Canis lupus familiaris: one gene and its partners. The protein of the gene in region 2 interacts with the protein of the main gene of each other region in a pairwise test. Links are inferred from orthologs where the notes say so. Each region holds a gene or a part of one and is shown on either strand. Other genes may lie near its edges.

Region 1 (6,427 bases), on a different chromosome or scaffold from region 2:
TCATTTTTGTGCTTTTTGCTGATGTCACTGCTTAAAATGGACACCAAGCAGAGTGCTGTAGTGCTGTCTAGCGTTTCTAAGCCAAGAAGGCTGTGATGTGACTTAGAGAAAATACCCATGTTAGATAAGCTTCATTAGGCATGAGTTACAGGGCTGTTGGCCACTAGTTCAATATTAATGAATCAACAAGAGATATTAAATAAAGTGTCTTTAAACAGAAAGTAAGGTTATGTACTCATCAGTTGATAAAACATATTGTGACCAGAGTCTGGCAGGAACCTAGCCCTGTATTTTCCATGAGTGATGATTTAGTATTCAGTAGTATGGTGTTCAGGGTTTCACTATAGCACTGTAAAATTTAAATAACATTTTCACTATAAAATTTAAATATTTATCTATTAGAGATACACACTGAAATATGAGTGAAATCAAATGATGTTTAGGATTGCTTTATTTTTTTTTTTAATTTTTATTTATGATAGTCACAGAGAGAGAGAGAGAGAGAGAGAGAGAGAGAGAGGGGCAGAGACATAGGCAGAGGGAGAAGCAGGCTCCATGCACCCGGAGCCCGACGTGGGACCGGATCCTGGATCTCCAGGATCGCGCCCCGGGCCAAAGGCAGGCGCTAAACCGCTGCGCCACCCAGGGATCCCTAGGATTACTTTAAAATATTCCAGCAGTGGGATAAAGGTATACATATGGAGAGTATAAAAGAAATAAGATAGCAAAGGTTAAAGACTGTGGAAGTGGTAATTTATTAGAATATTCTACTTTTGTGTTTGAAAATGATGGTGACAGGAGGTTTAAAAAACAGATTGAGGATAAAATCTTGGGGGAAGAATATCTTACTTGGTAGTTTTCACTCTGGACCCTCTGTGGGGATAGGGCTCCCAAAGATACCACCTGAGATCTCATTATGGGGGAATCCCAAACCCTTGAAAGTAGAGAACCAAGCTGAGCGGTTTGGGAGCCCTGGCTGTAGTCTCTGCCTCACCTCAGACTTGCTCTGCTACTTCTGGTAACCCACAGTGCCTCTGAACCTTTTTTCTTATCAGTTAAATAAGGAAATTGAATTGGACAGCCTCTGGGTTCCCCTTCATTGTTAAAACCCTCTCATTCTAAAACCAGTATTTCCTAAATTGGCATGTTCTGCTACAATATTGCAGCCTCCTGCCAGCTCTCTCTTCCCTGCCCCATTCATCCTGATGCCACTAGTCTGTGAACCTTGCTGAAATTTTTTTTTTTTTTGCAACACTCTAACCAGGGAAATATACTCATTTTGATTTATCTAAATCAAAGTCTGAACTCTAAGCCCAGCAGTTAAGGCCTGTGCAGGTAGACCATCCACTGAAGCCCTCAGGTTAAGAAGGGACCAGGAGGGCAGCCGGGGTGGCTCAGCGGTGTACTACCGCCTTCGGCCCTGGGCCTGATCCTGGAGACCTGGTTGTGACCCCGGGGTCCTGGGATCGAGTCCCTGCATGGAGCCTGCTTCTCCCTCTGCCTGTGTCTCTGCCTCTCTCTCTCTCTCTCTTATGAATAAATAAATAAAATCTTAAAAAAAAAAAAAAAGAAGGGACCAGGAAACAGGGGACAACACAGGGTACACCCAACTATTGCAGAAACAGAGGAAAGCCACCCAAGACTGCCTAGGGAGGCAAGAGGAAGTCTCTTGAAGGAAGAGCTATATGAGCTGAGGCCCAGGGGCGAGGGGGGGGCAGGAATTACTGCTGCAAACCAAGGAGAGGAGGATGGCCCGGGCCAAGGCAAGTGTGCCTGAAGTCCTGGAGACCAGAGAAATTTGAAAAAGGCTCGGATTTCAAAGATTTCAAAGCCATCCCATCAAGCCCCATGAATCTCTCTGGCACTATTTGCCACCCTTCCCTGTCACCCACCTTCCCCACCTGCCCAGCACGTGTGGTATGTGTGCTGGGGACCCTGGGACTCATAATGGGAAAAGTATACATCGAACCCCCTAGTAGACCTCCTTTAGAATAACCAGGTCAGGATTAACTTGTAACGCTTTCCCACACCCTTTTATTTTGCGCATCCGGCGTAGTTCTAAGGACCCACTTCTCCACAGAGGAAACCAAAGCTCAAAAAGGGCAGGGACAGGGGCTGGGGACTTCAACGCAGCCTGACTCCCGGCGGTCGTCCTTCACCCCCGCGGGGCAGCCAGGGCGCACAGTGGCTTTTACTCAGGCGTCTGCGAGGGGGCGCTGGCGGGCAGGTTCCGGGCGCGGGGCGGCCGAGGCATCCACACCGCGAAAGCCGAGGGCGCCGTCAGGGCCGCGCACACGCCCGCTCTCTTCAGTGAGATCCGGTGCCCTCCGGGTCCCATCCCGCCCCACCCCCACCGCGGGGGTCTCCGTGCCTGGGCTAGTCCCATTTCCACCACCTCCCAACTAGCTGACATCGGACAATAACTGAGGATGTCACATGTTAAACGAATCTTGCGAGGCCGCTGTGGGGATTAAACGAAAGCAGCATCTGTCTATTCCAGGGGAGGACAGGAAAGCGAACTCGCTTACACGCGGAGAAGGGTGAAATGGAGGAACAGAAAACGCGCCTCCAGGGCCTGCGCAGGCGCTCTCCGCAAACACCCGGCGGGCGCTCCCGCGGGCTCCGCGGCTGCGCATTCGGCCCGGCTTTGCGGCCGCACTGCTTGACGGCAGCGGTCTCCGCCCTCCGGCCGGCGTTGCCGAAGTAACGACAAGCGCGTGGGGCCGAGAAAGGTAAGGCGCGGGCTGGGCTGCCCGCGGCGTCCCGAGGCGCTGAGCGCCGTGGCGGCGGCTCGAGGTGGGGGTTCTGCTGCGAGAAGAGTCGTCGCCTTCTCGGAACCCCCCCCCCGGAAGCGAGAAAGGCGTGTAGCCTTCCCCCGCGTGGCACAGCCGCCCCAGAGTGGGCCGGGCGGGGAGCCAGGCTTCCTGGTCGCGCCCGAATCAACCCCCTCTTCTGCGAGCACCTGTAGCCCTTTGTGCTGCTTTTCATTCTTTCTGAGGAACTGGACGTGGCCACGTCCAGTACTGGGGGCCGGGGACGTCCAGGTGTATCGGACACCCTCTCTGCCCCAGGGGAGCCTCAGCCGCTGGTGCGGTTGCTGGGGGGCGGGGGGCCCTCGAGGAAGTCTGCAGAGGGGTGAATTAAGACGGGGAGTCGGCACTTGGGTGGGCCCTGCACACTCTGGCTTGCGTGCGGTCATGCGTGGCGGTCGCAGCCCCCGTCTGGCCAACACCTTGCACACGGCAGGCCCGGTACGAGGCGCCTTCGCAGTTACCCCCTTCATCCTCACAACAGCCTTCAAGGGGTTTAGGTTTTGTTTATGTGGCTTAGTCTCACGTCCTAACTTGAAAACTCCCCAGGGGCTGGATTGTTCGCCTTGTCCCTTTCATCCTTGCCTCCCATAGCCCAGGAGGTACACGGTTGGAGCTTCAAACATTTTTTAATTGGGAGAAGGTGAGCTTTACTGAGTAGGAGGTGTTAACCAGGTTTGTTTGGCAAGGTCCTTCCAGGGGGTCGGAAAATTAAATGGAGTTCCCTCTCCCGTTTTTGTTTTGCTTGGAATAAACGTTTGCTGAGCACCTGAACGGTGTTAGCTTGTGTGTTCAAGGGAAACATAAGCCCTTTTTTTTTTTCTTTTTTAAGATTGTATTTATTCATGAGAGGCACAGAGAGAGAGAGAGACACAGGCAGAGGGAGAAGCAGGTTCCACGCAGGAAGCCCGACGTGGGACTCGATCCCGGGTCTCCAGGATCACGCCCTGGGCTGAAGGCGGCGCTAAACCGCTGAGCCACCCGGCTGCCCAAGCCCTATTTTTCATAGTAAAGTAAATGGACCTAATGCTACTTGTATTTGGAGGCAAGTATGCCGCCGGCCCCCGCCCCCGCCCCCAGCGTTTGGGAAAGGAAAAGCTACATCCTTTACAGGTGCATAGCACTCGGCCCCTAGGGAGCTGTTGGGAGTGAGTTTGAATCGGCTATTCTGTCACCAGTAGTTGGCAGCTGTGTGACTACATGTTAAGATCACCTGGGTCCCACCCCAGAATTTCTGATGTAATTGCAGGTAAGTTCTGAGCGTTAGGAGTTTTGAGATTTCCCCCAGGTGATTCTAAGGGCAGCCAAGCTTGAGAGCCACTGTTGTATACCACCCCAGGTTAATTAATCTTATTTCAGTCGTGTTCCCTGCTTGAGAGTCTCTGCATCAACTCCAAGTCTAAACCAGCTTTCATGTTCCAAACCCCTTGACAACTGGCTCAGTCATACCTACACATCTGTGTGTGTGCTTCAGACATGGGTGGTCTTTTAGGCCAGACTTCTTGCAATGCTGTGTCTCTGTACAGTGGAGCTTTGGGCAAATAACTGGCCCTCTCTTCCTTGTTTGTGAAAGAGGATGCCAGTACCCATCTGTGTACCATATAGCACAGTCAGTGCCTAGCATGTTGTACCCATGGATGATGATTACCTCTTCTCAATTTACTCATGCCATACCTTGACATTATGCTGTTCTCCTATCATGGCACTAAAGAAACGTGTCGTAAATGCCTACTGCAGATATGGAGAATAGTGAATTCATTCCTTTCTCCCCTCTTTGCCTTTCAAGTCTAGTACAAGACAACTCCTTCACAAAACCATGAAACAAGATCGTTTGGTTTGTCCTACTGAATTTTTAAAATAACAGCTTTATTGAGAGACCGTTACACATACATAAAACTCACCCTTGTAGGGGACCCCTGGGTGGCTCAGTGGTTGAGAGTCTGCCTTTGGCTCAGGGCATGATCCCAGTGTCCTGGGATCAAGTCCCACATCAGGCTTCCTGCATGGAGCCTGCTTCTCCCTCTGCTTATGTCCCTGCTTTTCTCTCTCTCTGTGTCTCTCATGAATGAATGAATGAATGAATGAATGAATGAATGAATGAATGAAATCAATCTAAAAAAAGCTCACCCTTGTAAAATGTACAATTCAGTAATGTTAGTATATTCACAGAGTTGGTCAGCCATCACATCATCACTGCACTCTGGTTTTAAAACATTTTCATCACCCTCAAAAAAAAAAAAAAATCCATACCTATTAGCAGTCACTCCGCATTTCTCCCTTCATTCAGCAGCTGGCAGTCACTAATCTACTTTGTGTCTCTATGGATTTGCTGTTGTGGACTTTTCATATTAACGGTCTTATACAATATGTGGTCTTTTGTGACTGCTTTCACTTAATGCTTTCAAGCTTCATACACACTGTAGCATATATCAACACTTCCTTTGTTGCTGATAATCCATTCTATATGGATACATCACAATTTTTTTAATCCATTCATCTGTTGATGGACATTTGGTTTGTTACTGCTTTTTTTAACTATTATAAATCATACTACTGTAAACATTCAGGTACAGATTTTTGCATGAACATGTTTTCAGTTTTCTTGTATCTGTACCAAGGACTGGAATTATATGGGTATTTTGCATTTAACATCTGAATGACTTCCAGACTTTTCCAGTGCTGTTCAATTTGAAGATGAAGAAACAGGGCTCAGAGAGCTTAAGTGGGTTGTGCAAGGTCACATGATAATGATGGCAGGTTTGCATATATTGGAGGCCTATCAGCCAAATTCTTGGTAATTTGGTGGGGACAGGTGACTTGGGGACCCTACTCTTCCGCCATCTTGCCCCACCTATCAGCCAAATTCTTGAAGCCTGTTCTGCCACATGGGCAAAAGTAACACCAGATCACAGACTTTGAGGTTTAATGGAAAACAATGTTTTGTGGCAGGAACCTTTCTGTCACACACATACAGGTTGAAGTACAAAGTTCTTGACATCAAGTGTCCTAGCTCATTCTTGGTATTTTTAAGAGTATAGCATCAGTCTGAGGGAAAATTCCAAACTAGGCAAATTAAAATATAACTTCATTGTCACTTGTTTGAGATAATTTAATTGGAAGTTCTTGAAGTTAGCCATTTAACATTTTCTCTTTTCTTAAAATTCCAAATGTAGCATATACAAGTTAAATCCTAACCAGAAGTTAAGTTATAAAAGTGAAAAATCTCATAAAAGTCCAACTTGTTCCTGGAAATGCCTAGAAAGTTTTTCACTAGATTGCATCATCTGCCTCAAAAAAGCTGACACGGCATCAAGTGTTAGAATAAATTGCTGTTTCTTCTGTTGAATACTAAATGCAATCATTGGCTTAGATTGAAGGATAAGTTGGCAAATGACAGTTTAGCTAAAATGCTCTTGGAAGAAAATCTCTTAATTGTTCGTTAATGTGCAACATACGTGGTTTTGTTAGGAATGCTTTACAGCAGTGTGTGTGTGTATATATAATGTATATATGAGTCATGCTCAGTATGTAATTCCCTTGAGGGATCTTACTTAAAAATTAAATTCTAGTGTTTTGCTGCTTAGCATACTTAGTCAAGTCTATGAAGGTTCCAACTT
Region 2 (4,722 bases):
CTGTAAAGGGCCCAATGGGCCCATCTCAGCTTCTGGGAGCCCTGGAGCCCTGGCCTGGCCTGGCTAACGAGGGGGTGGGGTGCAGCCCGGAGAGTGGCAAAGTAGAGAACAGGGTCAAGGGGTTTTGTAAGCCACGCTGGAACTTTGAACAGATCTCCTTCCCCAACATGGCTTCAGATAGCCGCCACACCCTTCTGCTTGCCCCAGCCCCAGAGCTGCTCCCAGCCAATGTCGCTGGGCGGGAGACAGATGCTGAATCCTGGTGCCAGAAGCTGAACCAAAGGAAGGAGAAGCTCTCCAGGCGGGAACGGGAGCAACAAGCAGAGGCCCAGCGCTTCCGGGAGGATGTAAATTCAGATCCCGAGGTGCAGTGCTGCTCCAACTGGCAGGAGTACAAGCAGCTGCTGCAGAGGAGGTGTCTGCAGAAGAGCCAGAGCCGCCCCCCACACCTGTGGGAACAACCTGTCAGACCCTTGCTGAGTCCTGGCCAGGCAGACTCCCCAGGTACCCGCCCCCCTCACCCAGCCAAAGCCCCACAGGCTCCTGGCAGCTGAGGAATCAAAAGACTTTGAAAGGGGCATGGATTGGCCATAACCAATTGAGGCTTAAGAAAGATGGGGCAGAGAGAGCTATCCAGGGGAGTGGAACCCATAAGGACAGTCTGTTCTCCTGGAAAGCAGCAAAAGGACCCATGTGGGAAGGCGTGGAAATGGCAAGTCAGTGTCCAGGGAGAGGCGAGGGGGAACGAAACTACAACTACATCCTTAAAATAATAAACAAGATACATGTGGATAGCTCTGCCACCGACTAGCTGTGGTCCCCTGTTCTCGCAGCTCTGTGAGAGGGGAGCAAGAGGTCATCTCCTGGCCAAATCAAAGGAAGGCTTACTGTATGCCCTGTGTGTTTAAGAATGGAACTAATAGGGCAAGATTGGTATTAACAGATTCAGGATTCTTTATAATCCTTATGAGAACACGGGAGATGTCACCATAAGTATACTCCAAATATTGCATGGGACGTACCTATAACTTTTTTTTTAATCTGCTAAGTCTGGCAACCCTAAACTAGATGGCAGGTTCAGAAACATCAGAGGAGTCTGCAGATGGTTGACTTCCCTCCCCAACACCTTATTTTCACTGTCCTTGCAGCCATAGCCCTTCAGCATATCTCTGTGCTGCAGACCACACACCTTGCTGATGGAGGTGCCCGGTGAGTTTCCAGGTAGTGCCTGTCTCCATAGTACCTTGGCTGCCAGCAGTTGGCAGCTGGGACTTGACTCCTGAAGTTGGGCATGAGCTGGGGGATCATTCCAGGGCCCTCAGCCTGGCTGAGTCTCATGTGTCTAGGGGAGAGGGAGGGATGAGAGGCAAGAGGTGGACTAAGCCTGAGGATTCTGAGGTAGGCAGCCAAACCTCCCCCTGCCCAAGTGGCACCTCACAGCAGGACCTCCATCCCTGTGGATGAGGCTGCTTCCTGGAACTGTGGGAGGGAAAGAGCGGGGCATGAAAGAAAAGGGAGAGGAGGAGAAAGATCCCTGTTTCTTAAAGTTTCTTCCTCTGTCCACAGGCTGCTGGAGAAGTCTGGGGGCTTGGAGATCAGCTTTGACATTTATCAGGCCGATGCTGTGGCCACATTCCGAAAGAATAACCCCGGCAAACCCTACGCCCGGATGTGCATTAGTGGGTACGAGACCAGTGACCCTACCCCCAGGCTGCTGCCAGTTCTTTTGTAAACCAAGTGGACCTCTCCTCCCCACCCCTAGCCAGTTTGCCAATCTGAGAGGAACCAGAGGTCCAGAGAGCTGTCATTGATGCAGGCCACACAGCCAGTCAGTACTATAGGAACCAGAGCATACCAAGTCCTAAGCCCTCATTTCTGGCATCTTGCGCAGTCTCTCTCCTGTGCCAATTTACTGCAGGGCTCACCCAGCAGAAGGGTTGGGAATCAGAGGGATTCACAGGCTATGAGTGGTAAGAACCTCACTCTTCCTAGCCCTGGTACTCAACCAAGGCTCTGGTCACTCTTGGAGAACTTACTAGAACCATGCAGTTTGCAGACAGGAGAGTCCAGAGGCCATTTGGGTTCTTGCACTCCCAACTCTTGTCTAATTCCCCCCTCCCTGGTAGCCTGAGAGGGCTGGGGTCTCAGAGCTTATGGGCGGCCTGTGCCTACCTCTCTGTCTAACTTTATCCCTGCAGATTTGATGAGCCAGTTCCAGACCTCTGTACCCTCAAGCGGCTGTCCTACCAGAGTGGGGATGTTCCTCTGATCTTTGCCCTGGTGGATCATGGAGACATCTCCTTCTACAGCTTCAGGGACTTCACGCTGCCCAGAGATCTGGAACACTAATGACACCGCTCTGGCAGGGCATGGGACCTGCTCGGGGGGACCTGGACTGTCTATTCTCAGGGACCATCTCAGCTGCCTCCTATACCCAGACTCACCTGTAGCTTCAGGGGCTAGTCTGGGCCTTGGCCCTGAGTGTCTGATGCTTGCAGGAGAACGAAGCCATGCCCCTCCCCTCCCCCCACCTGGCTTCCATAGTCCCAGGCCTGAGATTGCTGTCTTGCAGTGATACTTTGGAACTCAGGACTAGATTTCAGAGACCCAGCGGGGTGGGGCAGAAGAGAGGACTCTGTGCCTTTAATCGAGAGGGTGCCTGCTTCGTGCGATAAAGCCAAAGCCATTAAAAAATAGATCGCTCTAATGCTGTGGCTGGAGATGGTGCAAAACTCCCCGGCCCTGCCCGAGCCTCAGGCCACCACCCCTCAAGTCCCGATGTCCGTGGAGCAGGCTCCAGGCCCTCACCCCTCCTTTGCCAACCCGCAGACCGTGCTTTCTCTGGTGCGGGAGCTAGGTCCCCGCGAGGGCAAGAACGCGACCCCGCACTTTCCTCAGGCCCTGCGCCCAGGGGACAGGAAATCACAGACCTAATCAGCTTGGCTTTCTCAATGGTCGTCCACGGGGAGGAGGCTGGCGCTCCATCGGGCCTTCCCTGAACTTCCCCGCTTCGGGGTAGAAGGGCGGCGGAGAGGCGCCATGTCGGTGTGGCTTGAACGCTAGCGGCTTCGGAGCGCGCCATTCGCACCCCTGGCCTCCGCGCCTCCTCCGCTCCCGCCTCTCGTCGCTCCACCTCGCTCCGCAGTTGTGCTAAAAACTGGTCACCGTTGTCCTTTGGGGCCTCGGGCGCCTTCTTGACTCCGCAGCAACTCGGCGGACTGGGGTCCGGGCTCGGGGCCCGCCCCGAGGGGAGGCGCCTGGCGGCAACGCCCCCGTCCCCAAGCCACCTCGCCGTGGGGTCCCGAAACCGGGCCCAGTGGCCGCCGGTCACCCGCTCTGATTGGGTTGTGCGTCTTCGGGAAGAGCAGGCCCGGCTACGTCCCTCCCTCGGCCGCTCGGGGCCGGCGGGGGGAGGGACGGCTCCCCTCCGCGGTCCGGCCTGGGAGGCGGGCCAGGCTGCCGCGCGTCCCAGGGACTATTTCCTCCCGGACGCGGCAGGACATTGGGCGCGGCGCGCCGTCCTGAGTCCAGGTGTGCTCAGGTGAGACAGGGGCGGGCCCTAAGCGCCTCGTGCATATTCAGGCGGCGCGGCCCCGCCCCCGCGCTCCCCGGGACCGCGGATTGGCCCGAGAGCGGCCGCCGCCCGCCCCCCGAGGGCGCCCTCGCTGCGCGCCCGCCCCGTCGGCTCCGAGCTGCGGGAGGCGGGGCCAGGCCCGGGGGCGGGGCCGCTGGGGCCCGGGGCTCGGCGAGCCCGTCCGGCTCGCCCTTTATGTAAATAGCGGCGGCTCCGCCCCCTGCTCGCCGCGCCGGAGGTGAGCAGGAAGGAGTCTGCCGCCCAGCAGCCCGTGGCCCGGCTGCGGAGTGAGCGGAGCCGGCGGCGGGGGCCGTGGAACGCCGAGGCCTCGGGCGGGGGCCGGCCTGGGGCTCCAGGTGAGGCGCGGGCCCGGAAACACCGAGCCGGGTCCGCCCCCTCGGAGCGCCCTCCGCTCGGGGCGGGAAGGCGGGAGAGGGCCGGGACCCCTGCTTTCCCCGGGCGGGGCGGGGAGGGCTGTGCCCGGGTCGGCGCGCGCGTCGCCCTGGATCCCGGGGCTCCGTTCGTCCCGGCGAAAGACACCTGTAGGAAGTGCGGCTGGGAACTTTTCCCTGCCTGATCCGTCCGCGTTTACGGAATTCGAGCTCCAGGTTTGCCTAGTACTGTTGGTTTGGGGAAACGGGGAAACAAGTGCCCGGCCTGGCTGAGTGCAGGAGGTCACCGCGGGCGGGGGTGGGATCCCGGGACCTTGGGCCCACGTGCAGGGCGCCTGGCCCGAGTGGCTGGCGACGCGCGGCTCAGGTAGCCGGCTCTCCGCGAGCGGCGGCCGCAGCGCGTTACCTCGCCGGCTTAGAGCCTGCCCCTGCCATCTGGGCCCGCTCCCTGCCGGCCCTTTGTGCCTCCTAATCCCCGGACGCAGGAAGCCCGCGGGAGGGACTTCGGTCTCTGGGCCTTTCTCCGCCTGTGGCGGCCTTGGACACCTTTAAGGGAAGGCATCGAGATCCGGTGTGTTTTCCACGACGCCGGGGGTGGGGTTGCGCTGTGATACGATGGGACTTGGTGAGAAGGGGAAAATATCGTCTTGCTGAACTAAGTGTGCAACGCTTGCTCCTGGTTTGCCCTCGCCGGGCAGTTTGTAGGCGCGCTGAGCTTTAGCTGTGGGGGGACCTGACTGTAACCAGGAGAACCGC
Region 3 (6,455 bases), on a different chromosome or scaffold from region 2:
AAACAATGGGAAGTGGGAAAAAATGTAGGTGAGTAGTCCTTAAGGCAAGGATGGAAAGTTTGGAAGCAGAAAAGGGATGCCAATTAATTTAACTCAGGAAGAAAATGATCAAGGGTTTAGTTGGTGAGAATGAAAAAGACATGAGGACAGTCTTCTTTGGGGGGTGTGGAGATGGCAGGAATGCTTGGTGTAAGATGACAAGGGAGAAAAGGAGTGCAGGCAAGCCTAGATGCTGTAAATACTGTGCCCTCACTCTGTTTAAGAAGTAAGTTGGAGGGGATCCCTGGGTGGCGCAGCAGTTTGGCGCCTGCCTTTGGCCCAGGGCGTGATCCTGAAGACCCGGGATCGAATCCCATGTCAGGCTCCCGGTGCATGGAGCCTGCTTCTCCCTCTGCCTGTGTCTCTGCCTCTCTCTCTCTCTCTGTGTGATGTGACTATCATAAATAAATAAAAATTAAAAAAAATAAAGAAGTGAGTTGGAGGGACGCCTTGACTGGCTCACTAGGTGAAGTATGGGACTCCTGATCTCCGCGCTGTGAGTCAGAGTCCCATATTGAAGGTAGACATTACTTTATTTAAAAATAAGTGAAATGGGAGATAGTCTAAAGGCGGGGAGAGGTTTCTTTTCCCTAAATTCAGCTTGAGATGGCTGCACAAATAAGCCAAATAAAGATGACCTTCAGATAATTGGGAGAAATTGCCTCAAGGGAGAGAGTGTGGAGGCGAAGAAAGAGATCTGGGAAATAGACTGCTGGGAAAGAGGAGAGGCTGAGCTCATTCAGGGAGGGAATTTGCAAACAGAAGCCTGGAACTGAATTTTTGAAGGATGGTGAATGGTTACGGGATACCTGAGAGTTCACAGGAGAACTAACGCATGTGTGGTGAACGAATGAATTAAAGTAAACCATCAAGGACTAAGCCGTAGAAAGTGAGGATGGCACTGCCTGCTGACAGAATGAGTGTGAAGGTAAGAGTGGGTGTGAAAGAGCCAACCCAGAAAATTGTCCCAGGCTTCTTGATCCCGAGTAACCATGAGAGCCGGACTGAAGAAAGTACTCATCTATAAAGAGGGGGTGACAATTATAGTATGTGTTTCATAGGGTTCCTGAGAGGATTACATGAATTTACACCTGCAAAGCTCATTGAACAGTACCTGGCATCTAACACTACCTGTTTGCTATCATGATAACTGGACTCGGACTCCCAAATCCTGAGTTTGAGTCCTAACATGGGCAAATCCCTTCCCCTGTCTCTGTCCTCCTTTGAAATTGGGAGATCATACCACTGACTTTACACGTTGGCTGAGAAAGAAAATACTGGAAAGGGCTTTAAAAAATTCAGACTGGGCAGCCCAGATGGCTCAGCGGTTTAGTGCCGCTTGCAGCCCAGGGCGTGATCCAGGAGACCCGGGATCGAGTCCCACGTCGGGCTCCCTGCATGGAGCCTGCTTCTCTCTCTGCCTGTGTCTCTGCCTTTCTCTCTGTGTCTCTCATGAATAAACAAATAAAATATTAAAAAAAATAAAAAATTGAAACTGCTGTGCATGTGGATGGCATTATAAGAGCTCCCCCTCCTCAACCTATAATAAAAACTCAAAAGCTAACGTCAGATGCTGTGTTACACTGTGTTACACTGTGCTTAGGACTTTACATGAGTCATCCATGCAATCTTTAAAACGACTTTAAGAGGTTGGGTACTGTTATTATCCCTGTTTTACAGACAAGAAACTGGGTCTCAGAGAGTTAGCCTGATTTGCCCAAAGCCACACAGCGAGAAAGTGGCCGAGCAGAGCACAGATTCCAAAGCCCAAGCTCGCGAGGCTGATGGATGCGGCCCCAACTGCTGCCTGCGGGGTAGGTGGGCGGCCTTGTACAACTGTTGGGAATTCAGGGAGGGAAACCGAGCCCCCCAAAGAAATCCCCGATCCGGAGGAGAGACGTTGTTGGGTAATGACTGGAAGGAATTCTTGGACGTTTAAGTGTTTTATTAAAACAAATTGTAGGGACGCCTGGGTGGCTCCGCGGTTGAGCGCCCGCCTTCAGCCCGGGGCGTGATCCTGGGGACCGGGGGTCGAGTCCCGCGTCGGGCTCCCTGCATGGAGCCTGCTTCTCCCTCTGCCTGCGTCTCTGCCTCTCTCTCTCTCTCCCTGTGTCTCTCATGAATAAATAAATAAAATATTAAGAAAAAATAAATTGCAACGCCGTCTCGGTGCCAAGCGCTGTCAGGGAGGGGACGACACCCAGGCCGGCCTCCTCCACCTGCCTTAGCCCAGACGTCCCCGGGTCCCACGAGGGGTTCCGAGGGATTCCGCTAATTCCGCGACCTCCTGGCTTGTGGACCAGGCAAGCCGACGGTCGTGGGACCCAGACGGCGAGCCGGCCCGCCTCCCCCTCCCCCCGCCGTCTCTCCCGGGCTGCAGGTGAGCTGGAACCTCGGGGGCGAGAGTCCCCTCCAGCCGCGCCCCGGCAACCATTGGCTCCTCCGCGGGTCCCCGCCTCGCGCGGGGCGTCACCGCATCCTACCCGCGGCTCGCCGTCTTCGCAAACAAGGACGCCGCCGCCCCGCCCACCTATGGCGTCACGATCAAAACAATCTTGTAACTACAACTCCCAGAAGGCCGCGCGGCTGCGCGAGCTCCGCCGCTGGAGGCAGTTCCGGCAAAACTACCGATCCCGATAGGCATCGCGCGGCCACTGTTCCCACTGTTCCTGCGTCGCGCCTGCGCAGAACCGCCTTTGTTTCCGGCGTGGATCCGGGCGGGCGCGGCGTGCCGTTGGGTTTAGGCGCTGTCGGGGGCTCCTCGGTTTGCCGGTTTGTGTTTGCGGCTGTGCAGGTGAGAGAACGGCCGGCGCTTTGGGACCAGGGCACGTTTCGGCGTCTCGGGGTGCTGGGACAGATGCTGGACTTACACTTGCGGTTCGCAGTCGGAAATCGTTGTTCACCACTCCTCGGTTCCTCGGCGTTTTCTAGTTGACGAAGTAATTCTTCTTCCCCTTCACCGATCCCCACAACACTTGGGGAGATCAGGTGATTTGTCTAACGACAGTAGTAGCAGATGCTGAGCGGGTTCTTAGGCTATTTTCTTTTCTTTTTTTAAGATTTTATTTATTTATTCATGAGAGGCACACAGAGAGAGGCAGAGACGCAGGCGGAGGGAGAAGCAGGCTCCCTGCAGGGAGCAGATGTGGGCCTCGATCCCTGGACTTCGGGATCACGACCTGAGCGGAAGGCAGATGCTCAACCCCTGAGCCAGCCAGCTAGGTGCCTCACCCCAGGCTATTTCCTAAGTCCGAACCCAGGGTTCTCTGCTTTGCATTCAGTTTGCAGACGCCCTTTCTTGTGGACTAAGAGAGCTGGGAGGGTATTTGTCTCCTTTTCAAGTCGAGTATCCCAATAGAGTGACGAAAGGAGCGATGGAAGTGATATAATCAAGTCTTAGGTCAATGTGTAGATATACTTTTCTAATGTATGAAAAGTATACATTTATTCAGTCGGTGTTTTTATGAGGTGCCTATGGGTTGTCGAGCCTTAGATACTGGAAGTAACAGCAGCAAACCAGACTGCCTAACCCTTACATTCCAGTGGGGGTAGACAGGCAAATGTATAGTGAGACGGGGTGATCACAGCTAAGGGGAAGAATGAGGGTAAGGAGAAATATCCAGGGGAGGATTTTGAGTAGTGTCCTAACTCCTGTTTCAGTCTGGTAATTAATTTGTGTTCTAGGCACAGCAACCACACAGAAAAGATGGGAGAGGAAGCCAATGACGACAAGAAGCCAACAACTAAATTTGAACTAGAGCGAGAAACAGAACTTCGCTTTGAGGTGGAGGCATCTCAGTCAGTTCAGTTGGAGCTGCTGGCTGGCATGGCAGAAATATTTGGCACAGAGCTGACCCGAAACAAGAAATTCACCTTTGATGCTGGTGCCAAGGTGGCTGTTTTCACTTGGCATGGTTGTTCTTTACAGCTGAGTGGCCGCACCGAGGTGGCTTATGTCTCCAAGGACACTCCTATGTTGCTTTATCTCAACACTCACACAGCCTTGGAGCAGATGAGGAGGCAGGCGGAGAAGGAAGAAGAGCGAGGTCCCCGGGTGATGGTCGTGGGCCCCACTGATGTGGGCAAGTCCACAGTGTGCCGTCTGCTGCTCAACTATGCAGTGCGTTTGGGCCGCCGTCCCACTTATGTGGAGCTGGATGTGGGCCAGGGGTCTGTTTCCATCCCTGGTACCATGGGGGCCCTCTACATTGAGCGGCCAGCAGATGTCGAAGAGGGATTCTCTATCCAGGCCCCTCTGGTGTATCATTTTGGCTCCACCACTCCTGGCACCAACATCAAGCTTTATAATAAGGTCAGAGCCAGAGTCAAGGTGGGATGGAGGGAAGGGCTGCTGTCAGGGTAGGAAGCTGTGCAAAAGTGTGCTAATTAAAACTGTCTATGGCCATTTCTTTGCTCCCTTTCAGCTGGGATTTCTGTCACATGACTTTGGAAGACAGTTTCAATTATGTCAATCTCAGGTTCTTAAATATTCCTGTGGCCCTGTTCTTAAGTAATGTACTAAATTTCTACTTAGGACACGAAACAGAAGAAGCAACATAAAATCGAAATCTGTGTTATGGGGTTAAAACCTTAGCCATTAAGAATGTCATTGTTTTCTGGTACCTAATAGCCACTTATTCTACATAACTATTGAGTTCTTTCGTTTTGTGTTTCCTTTCCTCACCTTGATGCTCTCTTCTGCAGATTACATCTCGTTTAGCGGATGTGTTCAATCAAAGGTGTGAAGTGAACCGAAGGGCCTCTGTGAGTGGCTGTGTCATTAACACCTGTGGCTGGGTCAAGGGTTCTGGGTATCAGGCCCTGGTGCATGCAGCCTCAGCCTTTGAGGTAGACGTGGTTGTGGTTCTGGATCAAGAACGACTGTACAATGAACTAAAACGGGACCTGCCTCACTTCGTCCGAACTGTGCTGCTCCCTAAATCAGGGGGTGTGGTTGAACGCTCCAAAGACTTCCGGCGGGAGTGTAGGGATGAGCGTATCCGTGAGTATTTCTATGGATTCCGGGGCTGTTTCTATCCCCATGCCTTCAATGTCAAATTTTCAGATGTGAAAATCTACAAAGTTGGGGCACCCACCATCCCAGACTCCTGTTTGCCTTTGGGTATGTCTCAGGAGGACAATCAGCTCAAGCTAGTACCAGTCACACCTGGACGAGATATGGTGCACCACCTTCTGAGTGTTAGCACTGCTGAGGGCACAGAGGAGAACCTTTCTGAGACCAGTGTGGCTGGCTTCATCGTGGTGACCAGTGTGGACCTGGAACATCAGGTGTTTACTGTTCTCTCTCCAGCCCCCCGCCCACTGCCTAAGAACTTCCTTCTCATCATGGATATCCGGTTCATGGATCTTAAGTAGAGACTGGTATGAAGCCTTGCTGCCTGGGGCATCGAGATCTTCTGGCCATCATGAAAGGCAAAAAAGTTGGGCTAAAGTATGAGACTCTGTTGAGGCCAAACAGACGAGTAAATAGTGAACTAGTAGAAAGCATATTTCTACCTCTTAAGATGGGTGGTGGGAGCCTAACTCTTCTGATCTTGAACCAAAAAGAACCAGGAGAACATAATTGGTTTCTTGGATCACCAAAGGTGCCGCTTTGTATTCTCCGAGGCCCTGGAGAATCGTATTTTTTCCACTATGCTACTTGGTGGACTAATTTTTAGGAGGAACTTTTTAAAAAATTATCACTGCTTTATATTCTGTACATAGTACTTGTTATTCCATTTATCCAAGATGAAAGATTGAATCAGAAGGCCTCTTTCTAGTAAAGTTCAAACTTGGGAAATTTTAATAAATATTTTTGCCATACCACAGAAGTTGGTATAATTTTTTTTTAATTTTGTTTTTCTCCCTAAGCATGATGGAAACATTATTGAAGTGAGTTATTGCTAAATGCTTCAAAGAAAGCCAAGGGCCCACCTTTGAGCCAAGCAGGTGAATTTTTATAATGGTTTTCCTTTCCTTGTAGGTAAATAGATGCTAAATCTGTTAATGCCAGGTTTACTTTGAGGAGCTACAGAGGCTGGTGATAAACTTGGATTGAGATTTCTGGTCTAATTATTTTCCATACATAGCTCATTTGCTCTCCGCTGCAGCTGTCTTTCCTATTGTCCTTCTGATTGGAACTGGGCCCCAGGTCAAGGTGTAAATTGAATTTTCGGGTGGTAAGAAGCTGGGAAAGAAAGCCCCATTCTCTTTGATTTCTTGCAAATGATTTGTGTTCCTAGTTTAGACTGGATTATTGAGTATTATCTGATACCCTTTGATTCATTCTTTCCACAAGTGTTTATTGAGCATATGCTATTGGCCAGGAACCATTCTAGATGGGGAACAAGATAGACAAAATCTTACAGAGCTTACATAGAATAAGCAGACAAAAAAGGTAAGTGCTATGTAAA

What was found. The genes of interacting proteins can lie anywhere in the genome.
Region 1: the proteins of TSEN54 (region 2) and TSEN2 interact in a two-hybrid assay, tested with the Homo sapiens proteins (2 studies listed by BioGRID and IntAct). The two-hybrid records come from large-scale screens. The link is inferred for Canis lupus familiaris from reciprocal best matches to the Homo sapiens genes TSEN54 and TSEN2.
Region 3: the proteins of TSEN54 (region 2) and CLP1 interact in binary tests that used the Homo sapiens proteins (3 or more experiments, as listed by UniProt). The link is inferred for Canis lupus familiaris from reciprocal best matches to the Homo sapiens genes TSEN54 and CLP1.

The regions. Positions count from the first base shown.
Region 1 is NC_049241.1:6,160,845-6,167,271, reverse strand, and holds the start of TSEN2 (tRNA-splicing endonuclease subunit Sen2), read left to right. Parts: upstream 1-2,623; 5' UTR 2,624-2,732; intron 2,733-3,709; exon of another isoform or gene 3,710-3,855; intron 3,856-3,913; exon of another isoform or gene 3,914-4,059; intron 4,060-6,427.
Region 2 is NC_049230.1:5,888,053-5,892,774, reverse strand, and holds the end of TSEN54 (tRNA-splicing endonuclease subunit Sen54), read left to right. Parts: coding exon 1-504; intron 505-1,148; coding exon 1,149-1,209; intron 1,210-1,566; coding exon 1,567-1,683; intron 1,684-2,198; coding exon 2,199-2,349; 3' UTR 2,350-2,707; downstream 2,708-4,722.
Region 3 is NC_049239.1:38,996,783-39,003,237, reverse strand, and holds CLP1 (polyribonucleotide 5'-hydroxyl-kinase Clp1), read left to right. Parts: upstream 1-2,651; 5' UTR 2,652-2,978; exon of another isoform or gene 2,979-3,027; intron 3,028-3,723; 5' UTR 3,724-3,745; coding exon 3,746-4,351; intron 4,352-4,743; coding exon 4,744-5,415; 3' UTR 5,416-5,870; downstream 5,871-6,455. UniProt on the Homo sapiens protein: Polynucleotide kinase that can phosphorylate the 5'-hydroxyl groups of double-stranded RNA (dsRNA), single-stranded RNA (ssRNA), double-stranded DNA (dsDNA) and double-stranded DNA:RNA hybrids. dsRNA is phosphorylated more efficiently than dsDNA, and the RNA component of a DNA:RNA hybrid is phosphorylated more efficiently than the DNA component.